Schizosaccharomyces pombe: one gene and its partner. The protein of the gene in region 1 binds, or shares a complex with, the protein of each later gene. Each region holds a gene or a part of one and is shown on either strand. Other genes may lie near its edges.

What was found.
Region 2: air1 (region 1) and cid14 share a complex: the UniProt entries of both Schizosaccharomyces pombe proteins name them as parts of the TRAMP complex.

What each region holds. Positions count from the first base shown.
Region 1 is NC_003423.3:972,515-988,204, reverse strand, and holds air1 (TRAMP complex zinc knuckle subunit Air1), read left to right. Parts: upstream 1-7,436; 5' UTR 7,437-7,624; coding exon 7,625-7,846; intron 7,847-7,895; coding exon 7,896-7,997; intron 7,998-8,052; coding exon 8,053-8,676; 3' UTR 8,677-8,847; downstream 8,848-15,690. Other genes in the region: protein Nbr1, read left to right, coding at 368-1,561; SHREC complex ATP-dependent chromatin remodeller Mit1, read right to left, coding at 1,881-6,137; U1 snRNP-associated protein Usp103, read right to left, coding at 6,312-6,634, 6,694-6,909, 6,956-6,965; ilv1 (acetolactate synthase catalytic subunit), read right to left, coding at 9,087-11,096; nucleoporin, WD repeat Nup131, read left to right, coding at 11,573-13,033, 13,068-13,161, 13,203-13,588, 13,628-13,982, 14,024-15,156. UniProt on the Schizosaccharomyces pombe protein: Component of the TRAMP (TRF4) and TRAMP5 complexes which have a poly(A) RNA polymerase activity and are involved in a post-transcriptional quality control mechanism limiting inappropriate expression of genetic information.
Region 2 is NC_003424.3:315,129-331,795, forward strand, and holds cid14 (TRAMP complex poly(A) polymerase subunit Cid14), read left to right. Parts: upstream 1-6,676; 5' UTR 6,677-6,795; coding exon 6,796-8,850; 3' UTR 8,851-9,001; downstream 9,002-16,667. Other genes in the region: pus9 (tRNA pseudouridylate synthase), read left to right, coding at 1-86; SPOM_SPAC12G12.16C (XP-G family Fen1-like nuclease), read left to right, coding at 579-2,069; sif3 (Sad1-interacting factor 3), read right to left, coding at 2,303-2,341, 2,386-3,044, 3,093-3,813; mRNA cleavage and polyadenylation specificity factor complex, WD repeat protein Pfs2, read left to right, coding at 4,846-6,375; gms2 (NST UDP-galactose transporter), read right to left, coding at 9,066-9,279, 9,334-10,038, 10,097-10,152; cysteine-type deubiquitinase Miy1, read left to right, coding at 11,566-11,728, 11,814-12,263, 12,370-12,854; WD-repeat family protein wdr21, read right to left, coding at 13,094-14,356; protein eti1, read right to left, coding at 14,682-16,667. UniProt on the Schizosaccharomyces pombe protein: Required for 3' polyadenylation of the 5.8S and 25S rRNAs as a prelude to their degradation in the exosome. Involved in the nucleolar organization to ensure faithful chromosome segregation during mitosis.

The DNA of each region.
Region 1 (15,690 bases):
ACATCTTCGATAAATATTTACGAGAACGTAAAAATCCTTGTCTTGATAAAGATTGTTTTTTCTATTGCCTTTACTCTGAAATTGCTAGCACTGTTGCTCACTTCGGCGTCACATATTTCCTCAATTTCAAAATTCATATGAACTATTAAATTTTACTTTGCAACTAATTTCATTAGTTAATATCGTTACTAATTTTGCTTTAGCTTATTTCGAAAGAGCTTTTTACCTACAATTAAGACCTTCTCTTACCTAAGAACTCGAGTTACTTCTTGACTGCTTACGCGATTTTTTTCTTTTTTTTGCTTTCTTTAACGCTCTCTTTTATCATTAAATTTTATTTTATTTTATTCACGTTTTTGATCCCGAAATGCTTTGCAATCGTACATGTCCCTCTTCTGATTGTGGGATTCTTTGCAACCATAGTGTTCCTTCCTTCCCTCCTTTTCATTCCTCAGTCGCTAATATCCACTTCACTAAGGAGAATAATTTAAAGTCAAACATTTTTGAGCACAATAATAATTCGCCTACTTTAAGGTCTTCTTCTGTTGCTTGTAACACTTGCCTCAAGATAATTCGGAATGACTCATTTCATTGCACAAAGTGTTTCGATTTCGATGTTTGTAGAGACTGCTATGCGAAACAGGCATTCCTCCATCCTTGCCCAAAACCCCATTTCGTACTTGTTCGCTCTTCAATCCCTTCAGTTGCTTCCTTAACCTGCAGCGTAAATTCTATGTCAGTTTCTCCCCAATCTAATTTTATGTACGCCATTTGTGACCATTGTGAGCAACCTATACATAATGTGCGTTACAAGTGTAGTGTTTGTGATGACTACGACATTTGTGAGTCTTGCCTTACCGACAATAGTCATTCAAACACGCATGCTTTCGTTCGAATTACTAAAGCTTATCCTCATGGTCTTCCTTCATTTCATTTGTTCCCTCAGTTCCTATCAGCCGAATTGTTTGAGTCTGCCTCAACAGTACATCGATCGGTTCAATGTGACAACTGTCTTGCTCATCCAATAGTTGGACCAAGATTTCATTGTCTGGTTTGTGAAGACTATGATCTTTGCTCCTCATGTGTATCTCATGTGCATCATGATCATCATTCAATGCTCCGTTTAACTCGCGAAATATCTGCTTCACCTTTACATTTATCTAAACCTGAAAAACCTAAGGTTCTTAATTTCGACTTCAAGTTAGTTGAGGACTCCATTCTCCCCTTAGAATTAAGCCCTGGCTGCCCGTTTTATAAAATATGGCATATAAGGAATACTTCTTGTCAATCGTGGCCTTCTCCGTTGTATGTCAAGTTTAATGGTGGAGACAAACTTTTTCCAGGAGACAATCCATATTCGTTTCCTATCACTTCTTCCGTTCATCCTGGTGAGGATGTTAATTTTACAGTTGCTTTGAAGGTTCCTGAAAAAAGTAACAAAGAGATTTTTACCGCATTTTTTAATATCTGCTCCGATGATGGTAGCGTTTTTCACAAAAGTCTTTGCGCCTTCCTTCGTGTACCGAAGTCTTTTAGCAGAATTAGTAAGTCGTCTTTTTGAAACCATTCGTAACGCTTTTTATGTCCTGTAGAAGTTTAGTGTGGAAGACAACGATAACGAAACTGATTTCAGTTTTATATTTCTTTCTTTTGTCCACTTGTCTGGCGGTTGTTCGTATATAACCGCCGGTTTTAAGTTCATGATTTGCTTCAGAGTTGAATCACTTGTTACCATATTTGATCCTACCTTGTTATAATGATCTTGATGGAAATGCTATATATGTTTAAAATTTATATTAAAAATTATATATTAACGAATAAAATGCAGGATACATATGAATATGCCAGATTAAATAATAGTATACATTGATGATAAAACTCTAAAGAGTTTTTGCTTCATTAATTATGGATTCCTTTATGATTACTTTCGATGAAAGTTCATTAGTTTTGGCACTGCTTGATACAGTAGGTTCCTCCTTTTTTTGTAGAAACGAGTTTAATCTAGCCATAGCTTGTTTTTTGATGTGAAATGGTTCTCGTGATTTGCTAAGCGAATCTTTTAGTCTATAAATCGCTTCCTTATTTCGTAACATAGGGCACGTGTCCCTTCCACTAAAGTGAGGTGTTCCACATAAAAAGCATATTTCTAATGGCACAATGCTTAATGGACAATGTGCTGGTAAATGTTTAATACCACAACATCGACAACGTACATTATCAGACAAAGAAGACAGTAGAAAAAAGTTGTCAAGAACTGCTTTAGACAAAGATCTTCCAACCAGTTGATGATTTTTTTCAATTATTTCGTAAGGTGGGTAAAAAACTGGATCGTCTATCAGTTGCATTTCCGAATCATTAATATACTCTGAAGAAGTTAATTTGTTAGCCACCTCTAAATTGATGGTGGATAGAGTTTTGTTAAATTCATCTTCTTTGGGAGTTGTTGCTAATAGAGATTTAGCTAAGATAGAGTCAAAATGAACATCTGCAGACTTTTGAGAATCAGATTCATCATTTAAGTTTTCGATATTTACGCTCGAATCATATTTGAGTTTTTGCTTATCAGATAAAGTATCTGTTATCGAACTGATTGTCTCAGTTTCTATGGGAAATGGGGAGCCTGGTGATGATCGATCATTAACGGTATAATCAGTATCGTCGCTATTATCATAAATATTTAAATCTTCGCCATAATGGATTTTGTGGTGTGCACGAAGTCTCCTGTTGGAAGTTGTTTCGTCTGTTTTTTCTAGCATTGCATCCTTCTCTCGTTGCTTAAGTATTACTGACCAGACATCTTCTTCATCAACAAGAACATTTTCTTTGACTTCATAATGATTGGAAGATATATGTTTGTTATCCCAAACACGAAAAAAGCCAAACTTATTGCTTTTTATATCTGATTCATCAGTTGAAGTATCTTCTTGTTTCTCAGCTTCTGAGATAAGTAATTCTACCGAATATTCATTATACTTAATAGACGGTTCATCACCAGCCTCTTCAAATAATGCACGAGCCCCATGCCGCAAGATACTTTCTAAATCTTTTTCTGAATTATGATTTTGATCCAATGACTCAACAATTAAGTGGTCCAATACAAGCTTCTTTTGAGCGTTTTGAATGATTTTTTCCTCTACAGAATCTCGAGTAGTTAACACAAAGACAAGTACCTTTTTTTTTTGCCCATATCGATGAGCCCTTGCAATCGCTTGCATGTCTTGATGAGGATTGAAATCAGGATCTAGTATAATAACAGTGTCCGCACTAGCTAAATTGATGCCAACTCCACCAGCACGGGTAGAAAGTAAGAAACATGACAACTCAGAATTAGGAGCATTAAAAGAGTCGATTGCTGACTGCCTTTCCATTTCCGATGAGGCGCCATCAAAACGTGCATAGGCTATGTTTTTATATTCAAACCAATCTTCAAGGATATCGAGTTGCTGGATAAATTGAGAAAACAATAATATACGATGCCCGCGAGTTATCAATTTCGGTACCAATAAGCGTAATATTAAAAACTTACAGCTGGCTTCTTCCAGTGAACGCATAGCAAGTTCATACGGGAGATTACGGTCTTCAATATCTGGTGAATAAATGTACGGATGAGCTAATGTTTTTCGAAGTTGCATCAAAATGTTGTTCAATGAAGTAGTCCTTTGCCCTCCAGAAGAACTGGTATTAGCATAGCCGGTAATATTACGTAGCAAAGACAAATTTTTTGAAAGAATCGATTTGTATAAACCTTTTTGAACAGGTGTCATGGACAAAGGAATAATTACTTCAACCTTCGTAGGAAAGTTATCCAGTACTTCGCTTTTCACTCTTCTTAAAAAAAACGGCTTTAAGATTTGATGAAGTTCAGTCACCTTTTCCGTATCAATAATGCTGTATCTTTTTTCAAGCTCAGCAGCATTTATTTTCATGGGATTTAAAAACTGCAGTAAATTAAAAAGTTCCCGAACATTATTTTGCAATGGCGTCCCGGTTAAAAGAAGCTTAAAGTCACTTTTAACCGAAGAGAGGTAATAAAAGAGGGAAGATTGATCATTTTTTAGTCGTTGTCCTTCGTCAACAATTAAAACTTTCCACTGAAATTTTCGGAGCAATGAAATTTCACGTTCAACATTTGAAGCACTTATAACGAGGACATGAGTGCTTACATGTTTTGGGTCTTTTTGATTGATTAGACGATAATCACGGACTAAACTTCTGTTTTTTTCAGAGCCCACGAGTACATTAATTTGTAGAAAGGGAGCCCATTTTTTAAGCTCTCGTTCCCAATTTGCAACAGTGGCATGAGGGACAATAACCAGTACCGGGAAGCATTTATGTCTGTAAAATAAAACACTAATGAAAGATATTACTTGTACAGTTTTACCTAAACCCATTTCATCAGCTAAAATACAAGGATGATGTGTGTACCATCGTAAATAAAGCCAGTTCAGCCCTTTCAGTTGATATGGCATTAGTGTACCACCTTTGATAAAACTTGGTTGAGAGTGCCACTCAAGATTAGTAAATGGTAAATCAATATTTATCGAAGCTGTAGGGGCTTTTTCGATCCATAGACATTCCAACAAGTCCGAATACCCTTTTAACCACGCTTTCCAGCGATTTCTATCTGTTTCTTTAGGAGGTGGTTCCCAATTTGACATATAATAAGTTAAACCACGCCAAGAAACAAAGGCGAATGTAACTTCAGAAATTGCCTTCAGTTGATGTTTTTTTGTTTTATATTTTGCCGTTCGAGCATTCTTTCCACTTCTATATTGAACATCCCAAACCTTATCGATTATTGTATACGATACTGGAATAATGGGCTTAGTTGCGTCGTATGAGGCATTCTCCAAACCATCGAAATTTTTCTTTTTAGCTAATGAAATACCGGCTAGCCATGAAGCAGAACACCAAAAACAGTGAAGGTAAGACTTACCTTTGCTTCGAACGAAATACTCTCTAGACCAAAAGCTCAAGTCCGATGTACTAACAAAATTATTTGAAAGGGTAGCTTTTGAAGGATATAAACTGTTTAGAGTTCTCCAAGCAATTATCTCTTCAATATCACAAGGATGCATAGAACATTCATTACAAACAAGTTTTTTTATAAAATGAGTAATTGTTCTCTGAATAGACAAAGGATTACTGTCCAGATAAAAAAAATATTCGACACGCCTACATCGAAAACACCGAAACCTTATAGACTTGCAGTAATTGACTAAAATTGACAGAGATTCCCTATCAGCAAGGGATGGGGGGATAACTAGATCCTGTCCAGAAGAAACGCCTGAAACAAACCCGGTATTACACAAAACGTCCTTAGAGTTTTTGGAACATAAAGGACATATAAAACCATTTTGCTGAGAGTAATTACGCGTTTCTTTATTTAAAGAAGGGAGTGGAGAACAGTCATAGTGGTATACATTTGAGCAATGATCACAGTAAACAAAATTTTTACCAGAGGAACGATGTTCACGTCCATGACATTTGACACATACACAGACGTGTAAAAATTTGATAAAATCAAATCCGTCAGAGTAAAGAAGTGAGAAATAAGGAGCTTTATTATCGTTTTCTGTGGACTCAATTTCCGAAGAACTTAGATCGGAGCTACCAAAGTCGGACGTGTCATTGAAAGATAAATGCGACAACGATAACTCATTATGCTCTTTTCTATTAACCTTCTTATTTGTATCAGATGAAGATGAAGTTGCACTGTCAGAAGCCGTTTCATCACTGACAAATGAAGGATTAAGTGCGCAGTGAAATTCCTTTCCGAACTTAAATTTCTTGGTACGTGTTGAGTCCCTTAAGACTTTACTACCATTAGACTTCAGTAAATAATCATTTTTCTCTTCCTCATCCTTATCGGTTGAAGTCATATACCCATGGTACCTCTTTCGAGATTTGTGTTTTAACCATACTCTTAAACAAGCTTTTCCATTTTTATATTTATCAAGTTCATCTTTTTTTATCAATGCTTCAACACCCGCCAAGAATTTAACACTCAGTGTGCTGTCATTTTCGTGCAGTATTTTTTGAACGGTGGTTTCAGACGCGTCATAATAAGGTAGTAAAACATCAAGCGGTTCACGACGTACTACTATTTTACATAAAGAATCATCTTCTTTTGGCATGCTTTGAGATGAATATCTAAATATTCTTGGTAAATACTGTGTATTTGGAGTTGTCCTTAAATTTCACTACGTAACGCAAAGAGAAAGAATTACCAGTAGTAAACGGTTATAAACAATAGCTATTATACAGTACATTAATAGTAACAAACAAGTTTTAATCTTTTAGATGTCATTTTAAGCACGTACAAACCTTTGATGACTTCTTTGACCCTGATGGTGGGTTTTAGTAAAATGGTTATTAGCATTCGAATGAGTACGCGCGCGTTGATGTTCATTTGTCTGAGGAAGAGATTGCTGCTGTTGTGTAAGTTGAGTGTTAGAAGAAGCTGTAGTCTGGGGAGCTGAAAAAGCTACTTGGTTTGTTAAATTTACAGCAGGCATCATAGGGACGAATGCAGCAGCATTCATAGCATTCATTCCTTTAGGAGCCATATAGGTATTTGCGGATACAATGTAGGGCGGTGGTGGACATCCTAAGTTAAAGACATTATATTTGGCTAAAATTCGGAATATTAGACTTCGTATTCAACAAAAGTATTATAAAGTAATAACTTACGAGGAAACGCATAAGCATAAGGAAGGTCTAGCGAACCATTCCCCTTTTTTAAAAATCCAGAGGATGCCCTTTCTTCAAGTTGTTTTTGGGCTTCTTCTTGAGCTACTTTCGTATAGTAGTCCTGAACATTTTGTATATGGGCTCTTCCAGCATTGTGTGCTTTTCTAACTGATTGGCTATCATGAGTGAGCCAAACTTGGCAGTAATCACACAAATCTAAGCATTAATTAGTTTTCAATTATTGTTATTCATCGTATCATACATCTTGGCATTTTAGCGTGTTTGGCTGTTGTTGAGTCTTGTAATAAATGTGAGCTGTGTTGAAACGCTAAAATGATTTAAAAAGAAATTAATGTCAATTAGCAACAACTATACAAAGAACGTTCATAGTTAAACATTGAATGTTAAATTACTGTTTATCTATGCTTTACAAAGTGTTGAAACGAAGCTCTCGAATTTTCAACTACTTTAAAATCCAACGCCTTGAAGAGTCGGGAAGGTGCAATCATTTAATATTTTAATATAATTAAGTTACTGCTGTACTTTCAATATCTCTTCACGATCAGGGCTTTTAAGTACCAGACATTCTTGGTTATGCATTAAGTGTTGCATTTGAGAGAACAATTGTAATTTGGAGTATAAGTTATTTATTGAATTTCATTTATTGTCATGCTCATTTCAATGAAATAAACTTCTCATGAGAAAGCCAGATATAATCCATGTAAGGTGAATACTCACACCTTAACCAAAAATTTTTTGCCTTTACTGAAACTATTAAATTTCCATTTGATAGTTAAATACTTGAAGTGTTTTATGTTTTATTTGCTTTTAAACTGTTAAATTGATTGGGAATATTGTGAAGTAAACTACTGGCCGGCTGTTAAGTGTTAAAGAAAACTGTGCTTGCCATTATTACATTGCTTGTCAATATATGGACATGACTGTTTCAAACCAAAAAGCAGAAAGTGATGATGGTTCAGACATCGACGATGCGGCCTTGTTACAAAAAATTAATTCTTTACCGATTGACCAGAGTATCACAAATTCGGTGAGCTTGGAAAAGCATGATTTTCAAGGAAGTGATGACCATGACTCCTCTACGGATCTTTCCGATAGTACTTTGGAAGATGTGGAAGGAAGTGAATGGGCAGACGTATGGATTGAAAAGTTTTTTTTTAATACTTTTTACTAATAAAATTTAGGTGAGCAGGGGTAGATACTTCGGGTCAGATCCCTCAGAAAGTATAGTTTGCCATAATTGTAAAGGGAATGGTCACATATCTAAAGATTGTCCTCATGTTCTGGTATGCATTTTGATCGGACATTGTTTTTTTAATAGTGTTACTAACTGTATTACAGTGTACGACTTGTGGAGCAATTGATGATCATATTTCCGTAAGATGCCCCTGGACTAAGAAGTGCATGAATTGTGGACTACTGGGTCATATAGCTGCGCGATGTTCGGAGCCGCGAAAAAGAGGACCTAGAGTTTGTCGGACTTGTCATACCGATACTCATACTAGTTCGACGTGTCCTTTAATTTGGAGGTATTATGTCGAAAAAGAACATCCTGTTCGCATTGATGTTTCTGAGGTTCGAAAGTTTTGTTATAATTGTGCATCTGATGAACATTTTGGAGACGACTGTACTCTTCCATCTAGATCAAATTATCCTGAAAGCACTGCATTTTGTGAAGCGAACTGTCCTTCTGGAAATGATGCATCTAACAAGGAGTTTTTTGAAACCCGTCGTAAAGAGTTTCAATTGGAGAGGCGAGAGCAGAATCGAAATCAAAAATCGTCGAAACAACGGCCTTTTCACAAACCAGGAAATTCTCTAGCATCTAGGCTGGGATCTAAGCCAAAAAGCTTTAAAAGAAAACATAGCCCACCTTCTGAGGAGAATGGCAATTTATCCTTTCATTCTTCAGATGGAAGAAAATTTACCAAAACTTCAAAAAAAAATCGTAAACGAAAATGGTAATTCATGTGCTGGTATTATTCATCGCATGGTGTATCGCTCTGCTCACATTGCATTGCACTCATTGATAATACTATCTTACTAAAATTTATTGGCAAAATCTAAAATATATGTACATTAATTTTATACACTCTCATTTGCTATGTTCGCAAAATTTGTAATGTTATTGACCTCCATCATCAAAATTAAATACAAGCTATGATAACGGAGTAAACCATAGTTAGAAAGCAAAACAAAAAAAAACAACCAAAATCGAAGATAACAAGGCAAAACAAACAAATTTGCTTTAGGGTAAATAATGACAAACCGCCCACCAGAGTCTAAAAGAATGTGACACGATAATTAACGCAAGTTTAAATAAGTGTTACATCTGACTCTTACAAAATAGCTGTTTTTAAATTAATCAAAAAAATTTATGAAAGGCTTTCATGCAAAATAAATTGGTGAAGAGCCTTACCACCAGGGACAAATGGATACACATGTTCCTTTTGGGCAACCAAAACTTCCATAAGCACAGGACCTTTAGTTGACAAAAACTCCTTCATTTTTTTAGCCAAATCTTCTCTCTTTTCTACACGTAGTGCTTTGATGCCCATAGCGTCAGCCAACTTAACGAAGTTGGGATTCTTTTGATGAGTATGAGAATAGCGTTTCTCATAAAACAAGTTTTGCCATTGAGTGACCATGCCTTGCTCTTCATTATTTAGGATAAGAATTTTAACTGGGATATCAAATTGACGGACGGTAGCAAGTTCCATACCAGTCATTGAAAATGAAGCATCACCATCAATATCTATAACAATATCTTTAGGTGCAGCAACGCTAGCACCTATGGCAGCTGGGAGACCAAATCCCATAGTACCGAGACCACCGGAGGTTACCAAAGAACTAGGTTTTGTCCAACGATAGAATGTAGCGGCCCACATTTGATGTGCACCGACACCGGTGGTAATAGTGACTTTGTCCTTTATGTCAGAAGTTTGTTTGTCAAGTTCTTGAATGACTTCTTGAGGCTTTACCAATTCACCAGGAGCGCTACGAGTGAAAGTGAAAGGGAAGCGTTCCTTCCATGTTTGAATTTGAGATAACCAGTCAAATCGGGAAGGAATTTTAATATTTTTAGTAGCAGAATCTAAAAGCTTTAGAGATTCGTATACATCGCCCTCTATTGCTTCAGTAGGTTGTACGACCTTACCGATATTTTTGGGTGAAATATCAAAGTGAATAATACCGCCACGCTCTTCGGCAGCAGCAAGACGTGCTTGAGGAGCAAACAAACTTACGTTACCGGTGACACGGTCGTCAAAGCGAACACCAAGAGCAAGGATAAGATCGGCTTCCTGCATGGCCATATTAGCGTATCCACTACCATGCATACCGAGCATATGCAAACTAAGGTCAGAACGTTCATCTACAGCACCAAGTCCAAGCAAAGAAGTAGTAACAGGAATTTGCAGCCTTTCGCTAAACTTGCGTAACAAAGTGGGGCATTCGGGATTAGCTAAAACACCATGCCCACAGAAAATCACAGGCTTCTTGGCTAATTTTAGTAAATTGGCAACACGATCGATCTTGGCAGTAACGTTCTTGGAGCCCTCTTCTAAGACTTCCTTCATTCTGCGATTCATTGATGGTACAGAAGACAGTATAGGAATGGGCTCCTTCAAAACGCTAGCAGTGACATCTTTGGGAAGGTCAACCAATACAGGGCCAGGGCGTCCAGAAGTAGCTATCTCAAAAGCTTCGTCTATACGACGGGGAAGATCAGCAACATCTTTGACCATTACATTCCATTTAGTACATGAACGAGAAATACCAACCATGTCAGCTTCTTGAAATGCATCACTACCAATTGCGCTGGTTGCTACTTGACCAGAGAATACAACTAGGGGAGTACCGTCGGCCAATGCATCAGCAATCGGGGTAATCACATTCGTAGCACCGGGTCCAGAAGTAACCAATACAACGCCGGGTTTTTTAGTAACGCGGGAATAAGCTTGGGCTGCATGTCCAGCAGCTTGCTCGTGTCTTGGCAAGATAAATTCAAAATGAGGAGATCTATAAATTGCATCGAAGACAGGCAAGATAGCACCACCTGGATAACCAAATACATGCTTAACATTATGCTTGAGCATCATATCATGGAAAATTTCACCCCCAGTCTTTCCAACAAACGAGCTGTCATATTTTATAGGACTAGCCGTAGTCACTGTAGAGGTGCTTTTGGTCGAATTTGCCCGAACGACACCGAATGCATTTTTTAATTTTTTAATTCTCAAATTATTACTAAAGCCGGTGCCATACCTCCGCACAGCTGAGCAACTATTTAAATTTAAAAATCTCTTTTGAAGGGCAATTTCTCGTCCATAAGACGAGAAAGCCGCCCTCGTATGCAATCTTCTAAGGGGAGCCAGCACAGTCATTATAAATAACTTTTAACCCTCAATTCCTTTCTAGAAAGAGCTATCTTTCAAGTTGCAAAAGATCGGTATGCTGAGCGGTATGAGAAGTGAGCAGGTTCATTTTTGCCTAAAAACATTGGTTGTTCACCACCACAAAAAAGATCAGATTTGTTAACGATAAGTACTGTACCCCGGAGATTAAATATACCGATGCATAATACTATACCCTTTGAAGTCGTGTTATTATTCTTTAAAAAGTTCAGATGATGTAGGAATACAATTTATCTATTTATCCATGTCTCCTTAATTTTTTAAACATTAGTAAATGCTGGAAAACGTCAAATAAATTTTTCTTGATCCTAAATTATAAGTTTCCTATCGATTCAGCTTAGAAAATCGTCAGAATTATCTTTGAGCATAATCTGTTTAACACGTAAGAGATCTTAGATACTTTCGCTTTTTTAAACATTAGTGAGCCTCTTATTAGAGGAATTGCAATGTTTATTGTACATCGACGGTTTTTTCAAAATGAAAAAGCTTTTACGCCTGCAGGAAAACATGAAAAAGTTGCCGACGGAAACAAACATGAGACATTAGCTACTTCAGAATACCCGAAAGTCTGTGCATCAAATGACTTGTACAAAATACTCCAAATATCTGCTCCTAAGGTTGGCAATTTTACAATCCATGATGCGCCAGTTGTTGGACTAATTGACTCTATTTTGGAATATTATTTGTATATTAGTGTCAAAGTTCGAAAGGCATGGATTGCTGGTTATGGAAGTCAGCCCCAAAACTTAATATGCTTTGATTGGGAACGTTTTACGGGTATTCTAGATCAGCAGAGTCTAAATAGCCCACCGTTAGCTGGATTTGTTAAGCCAGATCCAACATCAGCAGAGCCTGGCTTTTTACTTTTGTGGCCTGCTTCGGGCGACCTTTTCTACTGGGAAAGAACTTCTTTGATGAACGTTGAGGTTTCTGCTCCCGAATTTCCTGGTTTTCTTCATTACAGGATTCAACTAAAACGATATGAAAGCTGTAAAAATTTGGTTAGTGCTGAGCCTGCTGGCTTTTTCCTTACTCTGAGTTCAGGTCGGTTGCTTCATCTGAATTTAAAAGATAGCGATGGCAATTCCTCTATTCAGGTTCGAATCCTATTTCCTGGATTGCACATCCCCAACTGCTTGCTGTCGTTATACAACAGTATCTTTGCATTTACTTCAGGAAGAGTTATTCCAATACGTTGTGGTTCAATAAAAGGACCTGGTGAGAGATTAGTTTATTCTATGCATTCTGGAAGCACATTGCGAATTTGGGAAATATTCGGGACTGGTGATCACCACTTGTTACGTGGTTTTGACATTTATGATATAATTTTAGATAGTATTCAGGAATCCTTTTCCTACGTAAATCGATTTCTAATCCTTGATTTTTCTGTTTCAACCTCGGATCCTTATACGTTAGCTTGTTTGGTTTCCTGGCGTGATAATGCTTCATTATTCAATTATGCTGCAATCATTATTTCTTTCAACCATCAGATGATACCTCATGTTTCACAATTCTGCCATGTACGCTCATATCTTTCTGCAATTCTTCCATCAGTGTGTCGAATATTTTTACCAAGTCCAGGTACAGTTGTTTTTTGCGTCTTCGATGTCACTTTTGCTATGTTTCATAAAGTGCGAGGGAAAGAAGGCACTTTTTATGTCGAAGAAAACCTGGTTGTGAACAACCTAACTTCCAAATCTCGGGTTTTGGATTTTGGCATGGAAGATGCGATATATGAAAAATCTACGCACACCTTACTAAAAACTCCAGCATTGATCTTGTTAACAGAAGGGCATGGTATAATCCGAATTGAATCTTCTGCTAGCTACCTGAAAACCAGCTTTAGTGCAACCACCTATTTACGAAGTCGTCTCTCCCAGTTTGCATCGCAAAGCCCTTTGTTCCGTGTAAGTTGTTAATTCTTTCGTATCTAACATATAGGAACAATTTTTGTTAAATTTTGACTTTACATACAACCTCTCTGAAAGCGAAGTCTATAATACAGTCTTTAATCTTTGTGATGAACTTTATACGAGTAAGATAATTTTTTCATGATATATTACTAATTGCAATCAGCGCCATGTAAAAAAAATATGTCTGTATTAGAAACACTACATTCTCAGCAACGTGACTTGATGGAAATAGTTCTTGTTGCCTTCAAATACCTACATTTATCTCCTTCTAATAGACTTCAATTATGGCTAAAAGTTGCCTATTGCAGTGCTTTGGCAGACCTATATGAATTATTGATGTGTAATGAAAAAATGTCTAACTTGCTTCGACGAGTATTGAAAATAATGTCTTCAAATGATAATATTGATGAACTTTTTTTGAAAAAGTGCCTGAATATAAATTTGTTATTACAGCATTTAAGCTCGGAATATTCTCAAATATCTGGCCAAGATGCTAGCAACGCACAAAAAAGAATTGAAGTAATAGTAAATGTTAATAACGTTTATGGGGTATGTTTCTTATAAAATAACGAGGTTTACTAATATTAGACTATCTTTGGAAATGAGCTTGCTTATAGGCAAGAAAAAATATCAAAATTTACTGATCCATCCTCTGTGATTAGAAGCGACCTTTGGACAGTTGAAGTTGATCACTTAGATTTACTACGAAAACAGATCGAAGATTCGATATCATTGCATCGCGATGTACGTGACTCGAAAGATGCACACATATTAAAAGTCAGTAACAAGCTTCGGAAGCAGATTTTGCATCTGGTGGAACAAAATTGCCTTTTGATCTTTGATTTGCACAATGGAACAGATGATACCATAGTAAAATCGCATAATTTTCAAAAATTTGAAGAAGAATTTGGCAATTCACGAAAAGAATGGTTACAATATTTAGGTAAGCTGTTTCTCACTTTCTTGTTTCCGCTAACAAAGAAGCTTCTGTCGGATATTTGGAAAAGGCAATCGACTTGGCGGAAAAAGTTAAAGACTTTCAGACAATGGTAATTTTGCTGGATTGTCTAGATCCAAAGGATCCTACCATTAAGCTTCAAAAGCAAAAAGCATGCTTAAATAAATACAAAGAAGAATTCGCAGATGTAATTTTTTTTTATTTGGTTGATACAGAGCAGTATGCGTCTTTGCTTCATGATTTCTTGGAGTATCAATCACTTTTAATATCTTTTTTTGAAGCCAATGATTTATTGAATCTTTTGTGGATATTTGAAGCTCAAAATGGAAATTATGGACGAGCCTCCGAAATTCTTTTCCGTGATTGTGAACCAGAAGAAAACAGGATTATCGGTAAAATTTCGCAGTTAGCTCTAGCAAAGCTCTACTCATGGACTAATAGAATTGAAGGTGAAAATATCATATTGTCAAATGAGACTGAGGTGATTGAAAATCATTTAGCCATTTTGCTTATTCAAGAGCAATATGCTGAAATGCTTTCATCACTTGTGGATATTACAGAAGACGAGGGAGAAGCTGTCGAAGCAATAGTAACTTCCAATTGTGTAAATCTATCAGAAAACTCTATCAGAGCCTGGCTCGTGTCTAGTGCTGTTGAGCGATTAATTCAAAACGAATACACTACGCTTTGTGAGATGGTAGATTTCTTTTCTTCTTTTTCATTACGGGAATGTTCATTCAAAGAAGTTGATTTGGCCTTAGAGTTATTAGAAAGAGCTACAATCACTAAGGACGTGTATTTTTACTTAAAAGATCTCGTATATCGCCGTTTTCTATTACAGGTGAACTGGGCAGAAATCATCGATGCGCATGAAGATTTAGAATCTTCATTTTTTCCAATGGTAAAGGAAATTATGTTAGAATCAGACTTTTTAATATGGTTACAACATATGGAACACAATATTCACGACGAAAGTAAACATTACTTGAAATCGGAAAAAAATTTTTTGCAAAGTGTATATTCTTCACTTTCTGAGTCGCAAGTGGAAGATTATCAAATGGAGCTTTTTCGTGAAAAGCAAATTTTCTCAGTACTATGTAAAGATAGAGAGTTATACATTCTGATTCCGAAACTTCTGGACGTAGCAACAAAACAATGAAATGAAATTTTGCTATATATTACTTTACATTTCCTCAGTAATCGATAAACACCTGTTTAAACCTAGTACTACTTATGTTTGTATAATCTATCGTATAGCCTCAGCTCCGACAACTCCGTTTTTACGATGGTAGATGCTAGATAATCACTGGTTAGAATATTTACGGCTTAAAATAATTAAATTTTTTTATTATAGATTCTTGATTTATTATGATGATTGCGCCTTCGGGGCTTTTTCCCTGTCCTGGATAGCCTCACCCTTACGTTGGAAATTAAGCTAAGGCCTAGTGTGTTGCATCCAAGTACACCTTACAACTAACGTCCACTAAAACACTCAAACCACATAATCATTTGTTAGTCGAAAGAAAGCCTGTAACTTCTATTAAATTATAGTAATTGGTTTTCTAAATTTTGTTGTTTTTGGTCGGCTACTGAATCGCAATTGGACTTCAATCTCTGTGGTGAATGCAGTGAAAACAAACTGAGATTTGTGTGGCATTTGTTAGTGAGGCTACAAATTGACTACATAAAAACT
Region 2 (16,667 bases), on another chromosome or scaffold:
GCAAAGATTGGTCTTATAAGACACAGCTTCCAAAATGGGCTCTTGACGTTTGCTGCCGAGATCCTAATGCGCTGCCTATAGAATAAAGTAAAAGTTTTGAGATTATATACACAAAAAATTTTGAGGGTTTAGGGTTACTCAAAAAAATCGAATTTTTAAATCGTCGATAAAATCCAATAGGTGATTGATATATGTATACAAAATAGCTAAAGTAGTTTTTTTCTGACGCTTTGTTAACTTTTTATCGTTTTTTTTTTTGTGAGAATAGAGATCAAAAAGTTAATGAGACAAGTAACTAAACTCTTCATGTTTGGGAGTTTCTAGATACTGTTCTATGTGCTGTCATTAGACATTACAGAAGAATCTGGTTTTCGAACTCTTTCAATTAAAGAAGAAACGGTATTGGCGTCATTTGAACGTACCATAAGCTGTGGGTGCTAAAGTGTTTGCATTTCCATCTTTATGTGCATCATAAGTTCAACCATGACTTAACTTCTAAAAAGACGTTCATTCTAATACATATTTGTTACACTTATGATTATACGACTCACAAAAGAAAAATCTATTTCAAGTAATTGATGGGCGTTCATGGTTTGCTACCTATCATTAGAAAGGTCGCGTCTGAGGGTATAAGATGGCTTCAACCAGAATTTTTTTCTAAATATTATCCTGTTCTAGCAGTAGATGGAAATCTTTTATTATACAGATTTTTTCGGTCTCCAAATACGCCATTGCACACCAATTATCAACATGTTTTATGGGCCTTAAAACTATCAAGGTATTGTCGCAAACTAAAAACTTCGCCAATTGTGGTATTTGACAACCTAAAACCTAATGATTTCAAAGCAGAGGAACACGAGAAACGATCTTTGATAAGTTCTCAAATAGTCAATCAGCGACAAGTTGTTCAGGAACAGATGTATTTTTTATGCAATTTAAAAAATTGTTTAATAGATAATAATTTTCCGACTGGTAACTTTTACTACGAGATCGGTCCATTATTATCTCAAATTGGAAAGTTGTTATTTGATTTGCGTTCTCTAAATGAACGTGATAATCCTTTTCATGCACAAAATAATGCCGAAAATCTAGAGAATGCAACTTTTGTAAGGTTAATCGTTGACAAATTAAATGACAGGGAAAAAACTTTGATGATCCAAGAAAAGAAAAATCATCTCATACATTCTTTACGACAACTACTTGCGTTTTCAGAAATCAATGACTTCCCATCTGAGATACGATCTTACCTCGAATTTATCTTGTCTAATTTGGATCTGGAATGCTTGACTTTATGTCTTAAAATCATAAAGGGTATTCTTACCTTAGACGAACTTCAAAAAGCAATAAAATTGAAACAAACTGAATTAGATAAATTAGAAAGAAGGCTATATCGTCCTTCTCCTCAAAACATTTTTGAAATTTTTGAAATATTAAAAATATTAGGGATACCTGCTTCATTCTCTCCTATCGGAGTAGAAGCTGAAGCATTTGCCTCAGCTATTTCTCAAAACAACCTGGCATATGCAGTTGCTACTCAAGATACTGATGTCTTACTGTTGGGTTCTTCAATGATATCTAACTTTCTTGACTTAAATGATAATTTTCATCTACCGTTGCAAATTATGGATCCTAGAAAAATTGCTCAAGAATTGAACTTAACATTTGATGGATTTCAAGATTACTGTTTGATGTGCGGAACAGATTTCACATCTCGAATCCCAAAGATTGGGCCTGTAAGAGCCCTGAAATTGATTAGATACTACGGTAACGCTTTCGATGTTTTAAAAGCTTTAAACGTTGAGGAAAAATACATTATCCCAACAGACTATATCAAGAAGTTTTTGACTGCAAAAAAGCTATTTACCGATTTGCCTTCTAACAATGAGCTATTCAGTTTTATTCACAATATCCCTAAAGAATTTCTACATCTTTCTGATTCGACGTATTTAGATTTAGAGAAGCAGGTGCTTCGTATTTTTAATGTGCAAATTGAAGAATTAGATGCAAAAACACCTTGGTACTATCACTACGAATTGGAAAAAGATGTCAAAAGCACGTACGAGTATTGAATCATTCAATCATTAAAATTCATTCGTGAAGCGAAGCGGCATTAACCAAATGATTATATAACACCAATGTACAGAAACATACCAACCTGACACTTTCTTAACAGCAACGAAATTATAAATTGATAAAAGGGGAAATATTTTGAGGCGAAAAAGAAAGAATAAATAATGATAATTGTCGAAAACCATTGGTTTTTACAGACCATAGTCCATCAACATAAACCAACAACACACAATTACCTATGAGCCCATCTGAGTCGCAATATGACTTCAAGCTGCTTATGTTAGTCAATGAATAAAACGACCAATTAAAACTTACAGTAAATATGATTACAAACAAAGATATCAAGATAATTATTATCCAGGTAATAGAGTTCATCTTCCTATCCGCGCTGGATTTACCAAATATATCAAGCATATCAAAAATGACTTTACAGCGTCTATTGAGAACATTTGTACGGGGTCCAATTTCCAAGTATTCGCGAAATGCAGTATATAAAGGTAGAAGTAAGGGTTCAGAGTCCCATAAAAAGTCTGGAGTGTCTAATATGTTACTAATAAGGTTGACATCCACTCGTAACTGAAACAAATGACCGCTCATGCGAACAACCTCTACCCTTGAAAGACCTAAATGACCGTATAAAGCAAGCTTTTTTGGATAGAATAATGCAGAGTTCATTGTGACGTCTGTTCGTAACTCAAACCTAGAAAGTTTGACGGATTGAGCCAAAGCATGAGACATTGCCAGCTTCATTTTGTTGTCCGCTGACGGGATATGAATCATATCATTATATATCCTCGGCCTTTTTGTATTCGGCGCGTAATGAAAATGTAAATCTTCAATTTCACATTCCTCTTCTGCTAAAGGCTTAACCATTAAAGAATTATCACCACCAAAAGTTAAATCGGCAAGAATATCCTTTTCTTGACTCAAAGAAAAATTCCAAAAAACCACGACACCATAAGAGAAGACGAAAACTAAATGGCGTTAATAGGAAATTAGCTAAACAGTTAGGATTAACTTACTTTCAGATATTCGATACAATTGAGATATTATATGAGAATCAAAATTTTCGTTATCCGGTTTGTCAGAGTCCAAATGCTTTTGATTGTGATTAGACGCACTAGAGGGCATATCGTCCGGTGCTGGGCCACTAGAAACTCGGCAAGATTCAGACCTGCCATACACTAAAGGTAAATGATATACAGCGTATAGAACCTCATCATATTTCTTTGCGCGGACTTTGTGATAATGTTTTAAAAAATGTTTAACCTTAGGCAACTGGAAAGCTTCACAGACACAATATGCTGTAGCACGAGGAAATCCTAACTCTTCACGTTTGTCACGAGGTAAGTTTTCTAATTTGATTAAATTATAGGCATCGCTAGGAGTAAGCAAGTCCTCATAGTTGCTTTCTTCTTCGTTAAATGAATTGACAGCATGGTTCTCGGGTAGTAGTACAAGTTTCTGAGATGTTTTAGTAGTTCTTTGAGGAATATGAGCAGCAGCATGTCGGTTTTTTAAGAACCATCCTAATGGATGATCGATTTTCCTAGCATTCCGCCGTCTTTGAAAAAGGCCTTGAGCTGCAGATATTCGATGATCTCCAAAACGTGGTGGGCTACCATGCTGAGGCGTTATTCGTGTACTTTCTGAATTTATTGGGGGAGGAATATGCACAGGAGTTGATAATCGAGTATTAATTGTCCGTTTAGGGGGTAAATTTAGTTTATCCTTAGTAGACATCGAATGTGTACTTCGAGCGTTGGTTTACTGGTCATGCCAATATAAGTCTATGTCTCTGATACGCAGTATAATACTTTAATCAAGTATTATATGCAACTAAGTAAAATTACAATTATTTTGAAAGATAAAATGGTTGTGCTTAGTAGTGTATGAGGAAAGTAAACTTGATTAACTATGGAGCTTATTTCAAATTATCAGAGAGCAAGTGAATAAAGTAGGGTATTAATTACTAACCAATATTAAAAGAGAGACACAAATTGGTGTCTTTAGACAATAAAGATTTCTATGTAAAATATGCAGTGTCAATAATACGACTAAGCAGTTCAATTTCCTGAATTTTTACTCAGTTTTTGTTAAAAAATAAATTTCAAATGAATAAAACGAGCACATGTAGGTTGGATACTGCCATTAAAGTACGACTACAAATAAAATATTAAGCAATTTGAGAAACCTTATGTGGAACGTTAATCAAATGTTAAATAAGCAAAATTCATCTAAAAACAACAAATGGATATTATTTAGACATTAGTTTCATTTAATGTTATTACATTGTATAAATTAAACGTACTATTCTTTAACTGTCTAATCAAGCATGGATAGATGATCAAAGATATCATTACTGTATGTTTACTATGAACACTTGATCTAGGTGGATTAATTTATTTGGCGTGCCTAATTTGGAACGAAATTAATATCATCTTCAACATCCCACCGATTTACTTATACTAAATAAAAGAAGTCTTTGAACTAAATTAATAAAATTTTTTTCAATGTATTTTACAAGCACAATCGTTCCAAATATCATGTCAAAAGATACGATTGCGTATCCATACCTTTGGCCAAAGTCATACTAGCTCATTTTCCCAGCACGTAAAACGCGCCAAATATCTATATATTAGAATACCATACGAAAAACGGTAAAGTTTATACTACATTAGAAGGAACTTTAAGTTGGTTTTATTTAAATTAAAGATTGATTTTATTGCTGCTAAATAAGGAATTTCACATCTTTGGGGAATTGGTTAATTCATCATGGAAAGAGCTGAAAATGCTAGAATTATTCAAAAGCCTATGACTCGTAGGACTGTGGACTATGGATCAGGGCTATCAAAGTATATTGTCAATCGACATTTGCGTAGCAATCGCTATCACATACATGTACCGAGACCAAATCCGAATCAAATAATTAACTTGTATCCCCCTTATGAATACAAGTATAATAACACATCTTCCTTGTGCACCAAATATATTCATACGTCTGCAAATAAAGCTAGACATGTTATTAACGTTGTGCGCTGGACTCCAGATGGTCGAAGACTGTTGACAGGTTCTTCAACTGGTGAATTTACTCTGTGGAATGGTCTCACATTTAATTTTGAGTTAATTAATCAGAGTCATGATTATGCCGTTCGTTGTGCTGAATGGAGTACAGATGGGCGCTGGCTTATTTCCGGCGATGGAGGAGGCATGGTAAAGTATTTTGAACCGAATTTAAACAATGTCAAAATTGTTCAAGCTCATGAAATGGAAGTTAGAGATGTTGCCTTTTCACCCAATGATAGCAAATTTGTCACAGCGAGTGATGATGGTTCATTAAAAGTATGGAATTTCCATATGAGTACTGAAGAGCTGAAACTAACTGGTCATGGATGGGATGTAAAAACCGTCGATTGGCATCCTTCAAAAGGTCTCTTGGCTTCTGGTTCTAAAGACAATTTAGTGAAATTTTGGGATCCAAGAACCGGTACATGTATTGCGACTTTGCATGGTCATAAAAACACAATAATGCAAGCATCTTTTCAGAAAAATTTTGGATCAAATTATTTGGCTACAGTCTCTAGGGATAGCACTTGTCGAGTATTTGACTTACGTGCCATGAAGGACGTTCGAGTTTTACGTGGTCATGAAAAGGACGTAAACTGCGTAACATGGCATCCTCTTTATCCTAATTTGCTTACTACTGGTGGCTCCGATGGAAGTGTCAATCATTATTCACTTGATGAACCTCCATTACTTTCTCAGCAAAAGTATCATGAAAAGCATCCAAATGTTACTCTTTCCGCGTCTTCTTATTTACTATACCCTACTGCTGAAATTCCATTTGCTCATGATTTGGGTATTTGGAGTATGCAATATCATCCTCTTGGACATCTTTTATGTACAGGTTCAAATGATAAAACTACACGTTTTTGGTCAAGATCTCGCCCAGATGACAAGGAATCCACCATGGATCGCCATCATTTAGGTGAAGAACAGTCTGAGGCCATGCTAAGTCAGAGAAAAGCAGCGATCGAAGAAGACGATAATTATGAACCTGACGAAAACCCTCTCACCGAAACATTAGCAAATGCCCATAATCCCCAATTTTCTGGAGTACTTAATCTTCCGGGTTTAGGGACTATGCCCTCCTTTCCATCGCCTTATCAACATGGACAACCTCAAATTCCCGGTATGCTTCATGCATCTTTGAGCAATTCATACGCTGAGCCGTCAACTCAAAACTCTTTTATCCCAGGTCTCACCTCAAAGTCACAAGATGGGTATCCTCAAAACTATCGATAATACATTTCTTTGTTATTTGAAAAACATATTTACTTGGCATTAATTAGATTTAAAAAAAAAAAAATTCACACCGCAGCTCACTGGATTCATACTAAAAATTGGGTTTGGCAAAGCAAAACCTACACTAATTTTTTTTTTAATGATAACTAAGCAACAATTTACATTATACCATTCATACTCGACAAGCACTTCTATATCTCGCTCTCCATACAAGATGTTCCCCAAATTGAATTACCGAGTGTCAACGATTTTCGTAAATAAATCGTTAATAGTTAGGTATGCTACATTTAGTAAGTTGTTCACCACCAAATTTTCAAAGATCTTATGTGATTAATAATTGTGGTTCAATTAGTCATATATTGATTTTTATAAGAATTCTACAAGATAGGTATAGAAAACCATTCTATCCATGTCTTAGAGATGGGTAAAAAAAGCGTGTCATTTAACCGCAATAATTATAAAAAGCGTAAAAATGAGAGAACTGAACCACTTCCAAGGAGGATTTTTAAAAACGATAAACCGAGTAAATTTAAATCTAAAAGAAAGGAAAAGGATAAAAATTCAGACGCTTATGACGAAATGCTTCTGAATAACAATTTTACGCTTCTGGATCAAGAAGAACCCATGGTTGAAATTGGAAGTAAAAAATCACGTAATGATAATGATTCAGAAGGAATACGTGATAAAGGTGGAGTAGAAATTTCAAACAAAAACGATCCATATATTCAATTTGGAAAAGCCGATCCATTAGAGCCGCTGGAAAAACCTGATTTACCAGAGGAAGCAATAAAACGTGGTGAACCTACCATTCTTTTAGGTATACCAAAAAGAGAAGGTAGAAAAACTAACCCTGTACACGACAAGGCTGTCGAAAATAATTCTGATTTTATCAAGTTCGATTGGAACAGCGATGAAGACGAGGATAGTGTTAGTAATGATAAAAGCAAGAATAATGAGTCCTTAAAAAAGTCTTCTAAAAATGAGATCCCTGGCTTTATGCGTCAACGAGGCCGATTTTTTCATGAAGCAAATGAAAAATCGGATTCTAACCGTAAACGAAAACGCCAAGCGTATGAGCTTGATTCTCAATCATGCCCTTGGCACCGTCAGTATAAGGTAGAGCGAGAAGTCTCTAGAATTTTTCACCAAGACATTCTTCACTTTATTGACTATATTACTCCGACTCCTGAAGAGCATGCGGTTCGGAAGACGCTTGTTTCTCGTATAAATCAAGCTGTCTTGCAAAAATGGCCAGATGTATCACTTTATGTTTTTGGAAGTTTTGAAACCAAATTATATTTACCTACTTCAGACCTTGATCTTGTAATAATATCACCTGAGCATCATTATCGGGGTACAAAAAAAGATATGTTTGTTCTTGCTCATCATCTAAAGAAGCTAAAACTTGCTTCTGAAGTCCAGGTCATTACTACTGCTAACGTTCCAATCATCAAGTTCGTTGATCCGTTAACCAAAGTTCATGTTGACATATCTTTTAATCAACCTGGAGGTTTGAAGACATGTCTGGTAGTGAACGGTTTCATGAAAAAATACCCTGCTCTTAGGCCGTTAGTAATAATTATTAAACATTTTTTGAACATGCGAGCGCTAAACGAAGTCTTCTTGGGCGGATTAAGTAGCTATGCGATTGTTTGTTTGGTTGTTTCTTTTCTTCAATTACACCCTAGACTTAGTACAGGTTCTATGCGTGAAGAAGACAATTTTGGTGTTTTGCTGCTAGAGTTTTTGGAGTTGTACGGAAAACAATTTTATTATGATGCTGTCGGTATCGCTGTTCACAATGGTGGTTTTTATTTTTCAAAAAAGAAGATGGGTTGGCTGAAGCCAAACCAGCCTTATTTGCTTTCAATCCAAGATCCGGTAGATTTCCAAAATGATGTTTCTAAATCTAGTCGTGGATTATTACGCGTAAAGGCTACATTTGCAAATGGCTTTGATTTGCTAACTAGTAAATTATACGCACTCGCATCTCGTATAGAAAGAGAGGGTGTCAATCGAGTCAAAGATTTCCCTAGTATCCTAAGTACCATATTATCAGTTGATGAAGGGGTTCGTCAACATCGTGAGCATATGTTAAAATGTTATAAGAATAATCCAGTTCCTTTAGAACCTTTAGTGGAAGTGGATGCTTTAGCAAGTATTGATGTCGACAAGCTTCCATTGCAAGACGTTGGTTTGCAATATGTTGAGGATGAATCCGATTCAGACGAAACAGATGCTGCAAAGGATGATTTGTTTAAAGTAAATGAATCAATTGAAACCAACGGCCATGAAAATTTTCAGAAGCAAGCTTTGACATCTACGGGAGAGCAGTCCTCCTCTAATTCTCGAGCTAATCCCAGTAAATTATTTAACATAAGCAGTGACGATTCGGAAGACGAAGTACCTATTATTGAGGACACCACTGCTTCAGATGAAGAATCTCGAGCGAAAAAAATACGCAAACGTTTTTAGTTAATTTACATGTAAAATACCAGGTTATATAGAGGGATAAAAGGTTTTATTATCAATTATGATTATAGTTTGATAATTGTATTAATAAATTATCTTTATAGATTATACTTACGATTTAGCCAGTAAACTCGAATACCAGTAATAAATTAATCAACACCTTAAACTCACTATGGATCTGTAGTAATTTTGCATAAACGATGAAACTAGTTAAGAAATTACGATTCGGCGAGAGGAAATTTGATGATAGAATGGTAAGTAAATATGCCATAAATAAGAAGCACGAATCCCAAGAATTGAAGTAAATGGAATGACTCCATCCCCATTGCCATAGCAATAATCCAAATTCCGAATGTTCGAGCAATATCTAAAAGAGATCGGGTAGTAGCTGAGTGAAGTTTTGTAATGGCTAAGCCGGAAACGTTGAAAAAACTAAGGTTGGAACGTTAGTAAATACGAATGGTCAATTTTTTAACATGAACTTACGCAATAGATACCAAAATAACTCCAGAAATAACATAGAGTGCAGGGACTTCATTAAATCGAGATATAACGTGTGAATAGTCAAACCACCCGTGGTATCCAGCAGTAGTAGAACCGATAAAATAGTAAGAAATAATCATTCCTAAAAGGACAAAAAATACGCCATAAGTACCTTCATAAGCAACTAATTCTGAAGGGTCGACTTGAATAAACGAGAGTATGTATTCTTCAATTGTGAATTGTGTTGCTAAAAAAAACTGGCCGATTAAAACTGCAGTAATTCCTAAAATGGGATTTGAACCAATAGAAGAAGAGGATCCAGAATAACCAACAATTGCAACTCCTAAAACTACGAAACTCAGTGAGAGCCATTGCAATTGACCGATTGTTCTTTTTAGTAAAGTCGTAGCGAACAAGGCAACGAAAATAATAAGCGAACCCCTAGTCATTTGATAAATGCTGGCACTAGTATAAAGAAGGCCAACATTCATCAATGTTGAACCACATATATCCATGATTGCTGGAAGAGCCATGAAAACTTTGTGCTTTAAAGGTAGGTGGTCAAGAGATTCGTAGCCAGGACCTTGTGAGTGGCGTTTATACAACACATAAAACCATAAACATGCTTCCCCAAGAAAAATGTTGAGGCTTTGAAGAACTGCCATACTCTTGATGGGTTCACTTTCTTCTGCTATACTGTCTTGATATCTATTTGAGATGATTTGTTAGCAAACAATACTATTGGATAAATAAAATAGCTACTGACTTCGACAAGACGGTGTTAGCTACACCGGAAGTAAGCATAATAATTGGCAAAAGCATTTTGTAAATGTCGAGAGTATCAAATGCCCGTCAAATATGGGCAAGGAAAAGTGATGAGTTGTATGTGCAGTATAATATCATAAAATATCCGTTTAAGATGTTCAGAAATTTACAATATATTGTAAAAGCAAGATGAATGAGATGTACGCTAATATGTATGCGTTAGCGCTTAGAGTATAACAATTGCAGCTGTAATCTATCACTTGTCGGTTAGCGAAACTTTAGTTAATGCATTACGTAAATCGTTAAGTTTGGTTCCTAGAACATAATGAATTCATCAGGGAGATCCAGCTTCGCGAGTATAAATGATAACAAACAAAATAGTTTTGTCTTTTCTATAATACTTCTTTTAGAGTATAATTAAATTATAATCTCAATTTTAATTTATTCAAAGTATATTACAATCATCCTTCATTGTCTTGGTCAATCAACTGAAAGAAATAATTTCCTGAAAATTGTAAATCCAGTATAAAGCAGCTTATATAGCCTTCTCGTTTATAAGATGAAAATTATGAAAAGTGTTTCAATGATGATGCTACCTATATAATCAATACTACTTTACTGAAGTTGCATTTAAACTTTCAAACATAGCTGAAAATAAAATGGTTAAAAACGCATACTTTAAAGCAAATTCATAACTTTTCTTTGGTTCATTAATAATTACAACTGTTAAGCATTGAAAAGATATCTACTGGAAAAGTCTTAAGAGACAGTTGTTTTTTTTAAACTCATTTATTTGATTAATTTATTTTAATTTTCAATCTTGAACTCATTTTCTAAAATTTTCTGGGTTTCTGACAACTTAATAAAAGGAAGTTGTAATTTTACAAATACCTCATTTCTAGTTTATAATTACAGTAAATGAGTGCAAAAGAGTTCATCAACACTTAAAAGAAATTTAATTAATATACTAATTTTTAAAAATATAAATTCAATTTTAACTTTTTGCAACTAAAGTCGATTTTTTAATATACTTCATTGCTTTCTTCACTATAAATAGAATCCAAAATTTGAAGATTACAAAATAGCTGTTAAAAACTTAACAAAGGCAATTATTACAAATACTGAATGTATAAAGCTTGGGCCCCAATTGCAATTACCTAATAATATGTATACGAAATATAGCACAATCCTAAAAGTTCAATTTCAGTATATAAGATTTCATTTAAACTATAAATCCTCCTGTCATAAAACTAAATTTATTTTGAGTAAACACCTTTTATCATTAGCACTGACACTGGTTTTACTGTGATATGGTGGTGTAAGCTATATCCTTACCCAACTTACGATCAACGTCTCTAAATTAACTCATAAGGTTAATTTAAATGACACATTTAGGAATCCTTGAATATAAATTTGAAATTTTCAAAAAGGAATTCTTTAAGAAACCTAAGTTCTGTTAATTACCAAGCCATGGATAATGTTCAGGAACACGATCCTGATACTCAAGAGCATAATAATGAAACTCAGAACCATAAGCAAGAGGACCATTCTAATTCCTACCAGACAAGAACTATTCCTTTCATAGAACCCCTTTCAAGGGAATACCAGAAACGAATTATTCTATGTCAAACAGGTAATCCTTATAAAGACTTGTAACGTTTTAAACATAATTGCAAGCTTTTATTCCGCAAATTCTAAGTTGCTTACTTTGTATTCAGTTAATGGCCCGTGTCCTATAATTGCTTTGTCCAATGCATTAATATTAAAGTCAAACGTAGATCGACCATTTGAATTGCCGAAGAAAAGATACATCACACCCGATGAACTGACAGAATACTTGGTGGAGTTTGCTAAAGCATACGGCTTATGCAAAAATCAGCAAAGTCTTCAGGATAAACTGACATCTATGCATTTCGGTCAGCAATTGAATCCTTGTCTCTATGATATTGAAAAGTTTGAGTATGGGCATGAAATCTTTTGTACATTTGGAGTTCGATTAGTTCATGGTTGGATTCTTTCAGATGATATGGGTTTGAGCGACGAAGATTTAAGCTACCTTCGAAAGCTTGAATATTATGAAAAAGTTGCAGATACATTTGCCGAACGTCGTTCTCTATTAGAGATGCAGGAGCCACTAACTGAACAGCAGCAAGATTTTTTAAATAATTGTAAGTTTTTACTTATCTGTCGTGCATACTTTCTTCAGTTTACTGCTTGAGAGACTTTAGCCTTATAATTTGCTATATGTTTTTTACAAACTAACACTTCAAATAGCTACATGTGTTGACAAAGTTATGGAAAATCGTTATACAATGCAATTTTTGACGAATGCTGGTCTTAAAAAGATTCTTGAGCTTGTAGGTCCAGGGGAAATAGTCGTGGTTTTTCGTTCCAGTCATTTCAGTACCATGTATTCAAATCCAGATTCATTCGCACAATTTACTTTGGTCACAGATAGTGGATACGCAAGGACAGGTGAAGATGTTGTGTGGGAAACCTTTGACTCGCAAACAGTTGAGACAGGCAATGGTGAACTTTGTGCAGCTAACTTCATTCCTGCTGTTTATGTTTTGAATCAAAGAAAGGAGGAGAAAAAAAAACGCGCTAAAGATGATGAACAATATGCCAAGAGACTAGCGAAAGAAGAAGAAGAAAGAGGAAAAAAGGAGACTCCTAAAAAGGCTTCCAACACTCCTCGTCGTAACAAATCCAATACCCAGAAATCACGTAAGCAAAGCGAAAACTGTTTAATTTCGTGATGAAACATGATACTTAGAGGATCTGTCTTTTATATTTTTATTTTTTGTATTCGCTCTAGTGAAAGCGTATGCATTTACTACATTTATTCCATAGTTTCTTTTACGTCAACAATTATTAATTAATATTGAAATCTCCTAAACTTTTTTGAAAGATTGAAAAGTAAACAAGCATTACATATATCCGTAAGACTAAAGATACTATTGCTACCAAAAAGAATTTTCTTCACCTTGTTAAATGCTCATGGTTCGTAAATAAGTAAGCCTCGACCATACGGTAGAACCCAACCGGTACCATTCATTGCTTTTACCCAAGACCCATCTCGACATAAATATTTACCATCGTCAACTCGCATTTCCTTGAATGGTAACGAACAGTCGGTTTTCCAAAAACGTAAAACATAATCATCACCAGCACTGCTAAAAATGCTTCCATTCTCATTTTTCATCAAAGCTAAATTTCTTTCAAGCAAATTAGAATGACCCATATAAGACATAATTGACTGGGGTCTTTTTTTACTTTGCAGAAATCGGCAATCATACAAAGAAATTTTAGATTCCAAACCACTAACCAAAAGCTTCGGTTGGGAAAAATCTAAGTTTTGCATTGAACAAATGCTAGATCCATGATAGAATCGCTGTACACATTCTTTCTTCGTCCGAAGATCATACACTAATACACTTTTATTTCGACATCCAGCAATGACTAAGTTGTCACCCAAATATTTAAGACTGAATACGTCTCCTTTAGATTGCAAACTTTGCGTTAATTTTCCCTCTCGATTAATTATTGCAATTTTTGAGGTGCCACCAACTGCAAAGCCCATCTCTCCAATACTTTCTGCACATAAAGGGGTTTTCAAAAGTTTAAGAGATCCCCAACGGTAATTATTGGATTCACCCAATAGCTGGTTATAAGTAGATATATGAAATTGTCCCTCATTCTGCAGAGAAGGAGATGTAGACCAGAAAATTTGCATTGCGTTACATACCAAAGAAGAAATGGGATTATTAGAGAGGCCTATCCTTGACAAGGAAAAATCCTGAATTGAACCTTCTGAAGTATATTTTTCATTTGCAACTCCAGATTTGTCTTCAGGGGTAAGACAACACCCCAATATGTCGCCGTTTTTGGAAGTTAAAATTATGGTATTAACTTCGCGAAGCCAACCTATTTTTTGCAGCTCAGTCCCAACTGGAAGCTGCCGAAGATTTATTTTTTTTAGGTTTTTTGCACATAAATAATCTCTGTCATCATTACAAGAATAAGGATATTGTGAAAACTGTCTATCAAAAAGATAAGTTGAAAAGTTGAAAACGGGATTGCCTCCTTTTCCTTTGGTTCGTTCTTTACTGATATTATTAAAACGCTTCCCCCTTTTCAACCTCTCCTTAGTATAAATATTAGAGGACGGAGTAGACTGCCCCGAGCTAATTATTCGAAAGTAACGCTTTTTTTCAGAATTGTAATAATAACCGGGAATATGAAATGGTAGTCCGCTCATAACCCAGGGATTGATGGTAAGCAAAAGAAATTAAAAACAAAAAAGGTTTTGTTAAAATGTTGTCGTTATACCATTTCTCTGTTGTATGTAGCCAAATACTTAGGTATTCAAAAGACAACACAACTATATAAATTAATAAAAAAAAGCACCAGTGTGCGGCAAACGGTATAATAAGGTAACACGATAAAATTCCTTATTTGTTAACTTATAGTTAATAGCTTAAATGCCCCCTATAAGGAAAAAATGCCGTAAAAGACAAAATTACTAGTGCTTGCAGCTAAGCTTATTGTCGCTCATAAGCTAGTTTCAGAGATTCCTCCATTTTCTATGTATTGAGAAAAATATCGACTTCTCTTAACAGTGCTTGGAGCGTCGTAATTAAAAATTCGTGCTTCGACTTCTGTATACTAGAGTTACCAATTAGCACAAATTCCCTCACGTTTTTAAGAACAATGCGCACAACGGAGGAGAACAGCTCAGGAGTTAATGTGCCGCTGTTGTTAAATACTGATAATGTCATAGTCCGAAGACGTGAAGTAGCTCGCGATAATAGTTGAAGACGAGAAAATGATAGCTGTTCCTCTTTTATGATTAACTTGGAAAGAACATGAATAAATGCTAAAAGATGAATTGAAGAACAATCATCTAGTGAATAATCAGGCACATCTTGTAATGACCGGAATGCTTCAATAGAGGGATCCTTCGTGAAGCAAATTAACGCCTCTTTATTCTTAGAAATGCGAACCAATTCCAAAACTTTTTTCGATACTGCAAATGACTCAGATTCTTCAAAATTAGAAGAGGATGTTGGACTTTGATCGCTAGTTTCTAATCGCTCAATCATTAAGAGTTTTTCAAGCTTTTGGTTAATGTTTCCTATGCGGTTTGAAAAATCGCACAACTGCCTATTACTGCTTCTATAAGTGGATGTTAAGTTTTCCAAGTCGTTTGCCAAAAATCCAGTTTCTAGGAATCCTACCTCAAGAAGAAAAGGTTTTGAATGTATCAATTTGAAAAGATCAGAAATTTCATCGGTTGCAGCTTCTGAAATAGTCTGCTCCAACAATTTCATGTAAGAGTTCTTAACAACCAATTCCACTCGACTATGCAAGCTTTCAAATTTTGCGTGGATTCTACTTTTCATGACTGAAGAGATATTTTCTCTAACCTCATTAGGATTTTGAGGAACGTATTGATTGAAGAATGGCATGGAGGGATAACAAACTGATCCCAAAGACTCTGTAAGATTTTGTGTTGTGGAATCATCCTTAGATTTTGCACAATTTTTTAAATCTTGACTCAAAGCCCTTAGCGTGTTATTAGACTTTAATCCCGAAGTTAATGATGCCCTAGCTAAAATTCGCTTGTCAGAATTAGGATATTCCAAAGAAGTGCCCTCGTCAAATTTGGAATCGCTTTCTATGCAGAACTGAAAATATCCAGAACTTAGTGCCAAAATTAGTTCAAGTTTGGAACTATCACAGCCAATTAAGGTGACAAAAACAATGCTATGATCCACCACCTCATTCGATATTACTTTATTAATATAACCAGAATCTCCAAAACGCTTGCCTTTGGAAACAGCAGAGATCAAAGCTGCAGTGTTAGATAATACACCCACATTGGATAAATCAGAAGGTGAATAAATAAAGATATCCAAAAGCTGATTCCTTTTTGCAACAATCATGTTTGAATTATTGAAAGTAAGTAATTGCTGAATAGGTGATTTCTCTTTTTCATTTGAAAACTCAATTTCTTGAGTAAAAGCACATAACCCAAAATCAAATAAACCTAATATAGTATTATTAGCATAGGAGACACAAATAACTTTATCAATGATATCATTATTGTTCGGTGGAGATGAAAGAAAAGAAATAGAATTTGCTGTACTCGGAAGCTGAAGGCTCATTGTCGCGATAGCCGCCCAGTTACCTCGGTGTGAAGGATTAGTAGAAAATAAATTAGAAACTGGAAATGAATAGAAAAAAATTTGAGAATTCACTAATATTGCAACAACAGAACGGTCAGAAGAGATGGTGTATGAGTTAATCGGCCCAGGTAAATCAACCTTGGCAGCTTGTAATCCATTAAAATCTTTTGCATAAACTTTAGGGCTAATATTATTGGAACGAATATTTGATATATCCACAATATATAAAGAATTCTTTACAATCATAGAAAACATATTTGAAGAATTAGGAATCCAATCACAAATACCATAATTGGCACGACGGATGGTAAACAAAAGTGAAACTGAAATTTCAGATCGCTTCTGTAAAATTTTCCAAACATACAGATTAGAGAGAGCGTC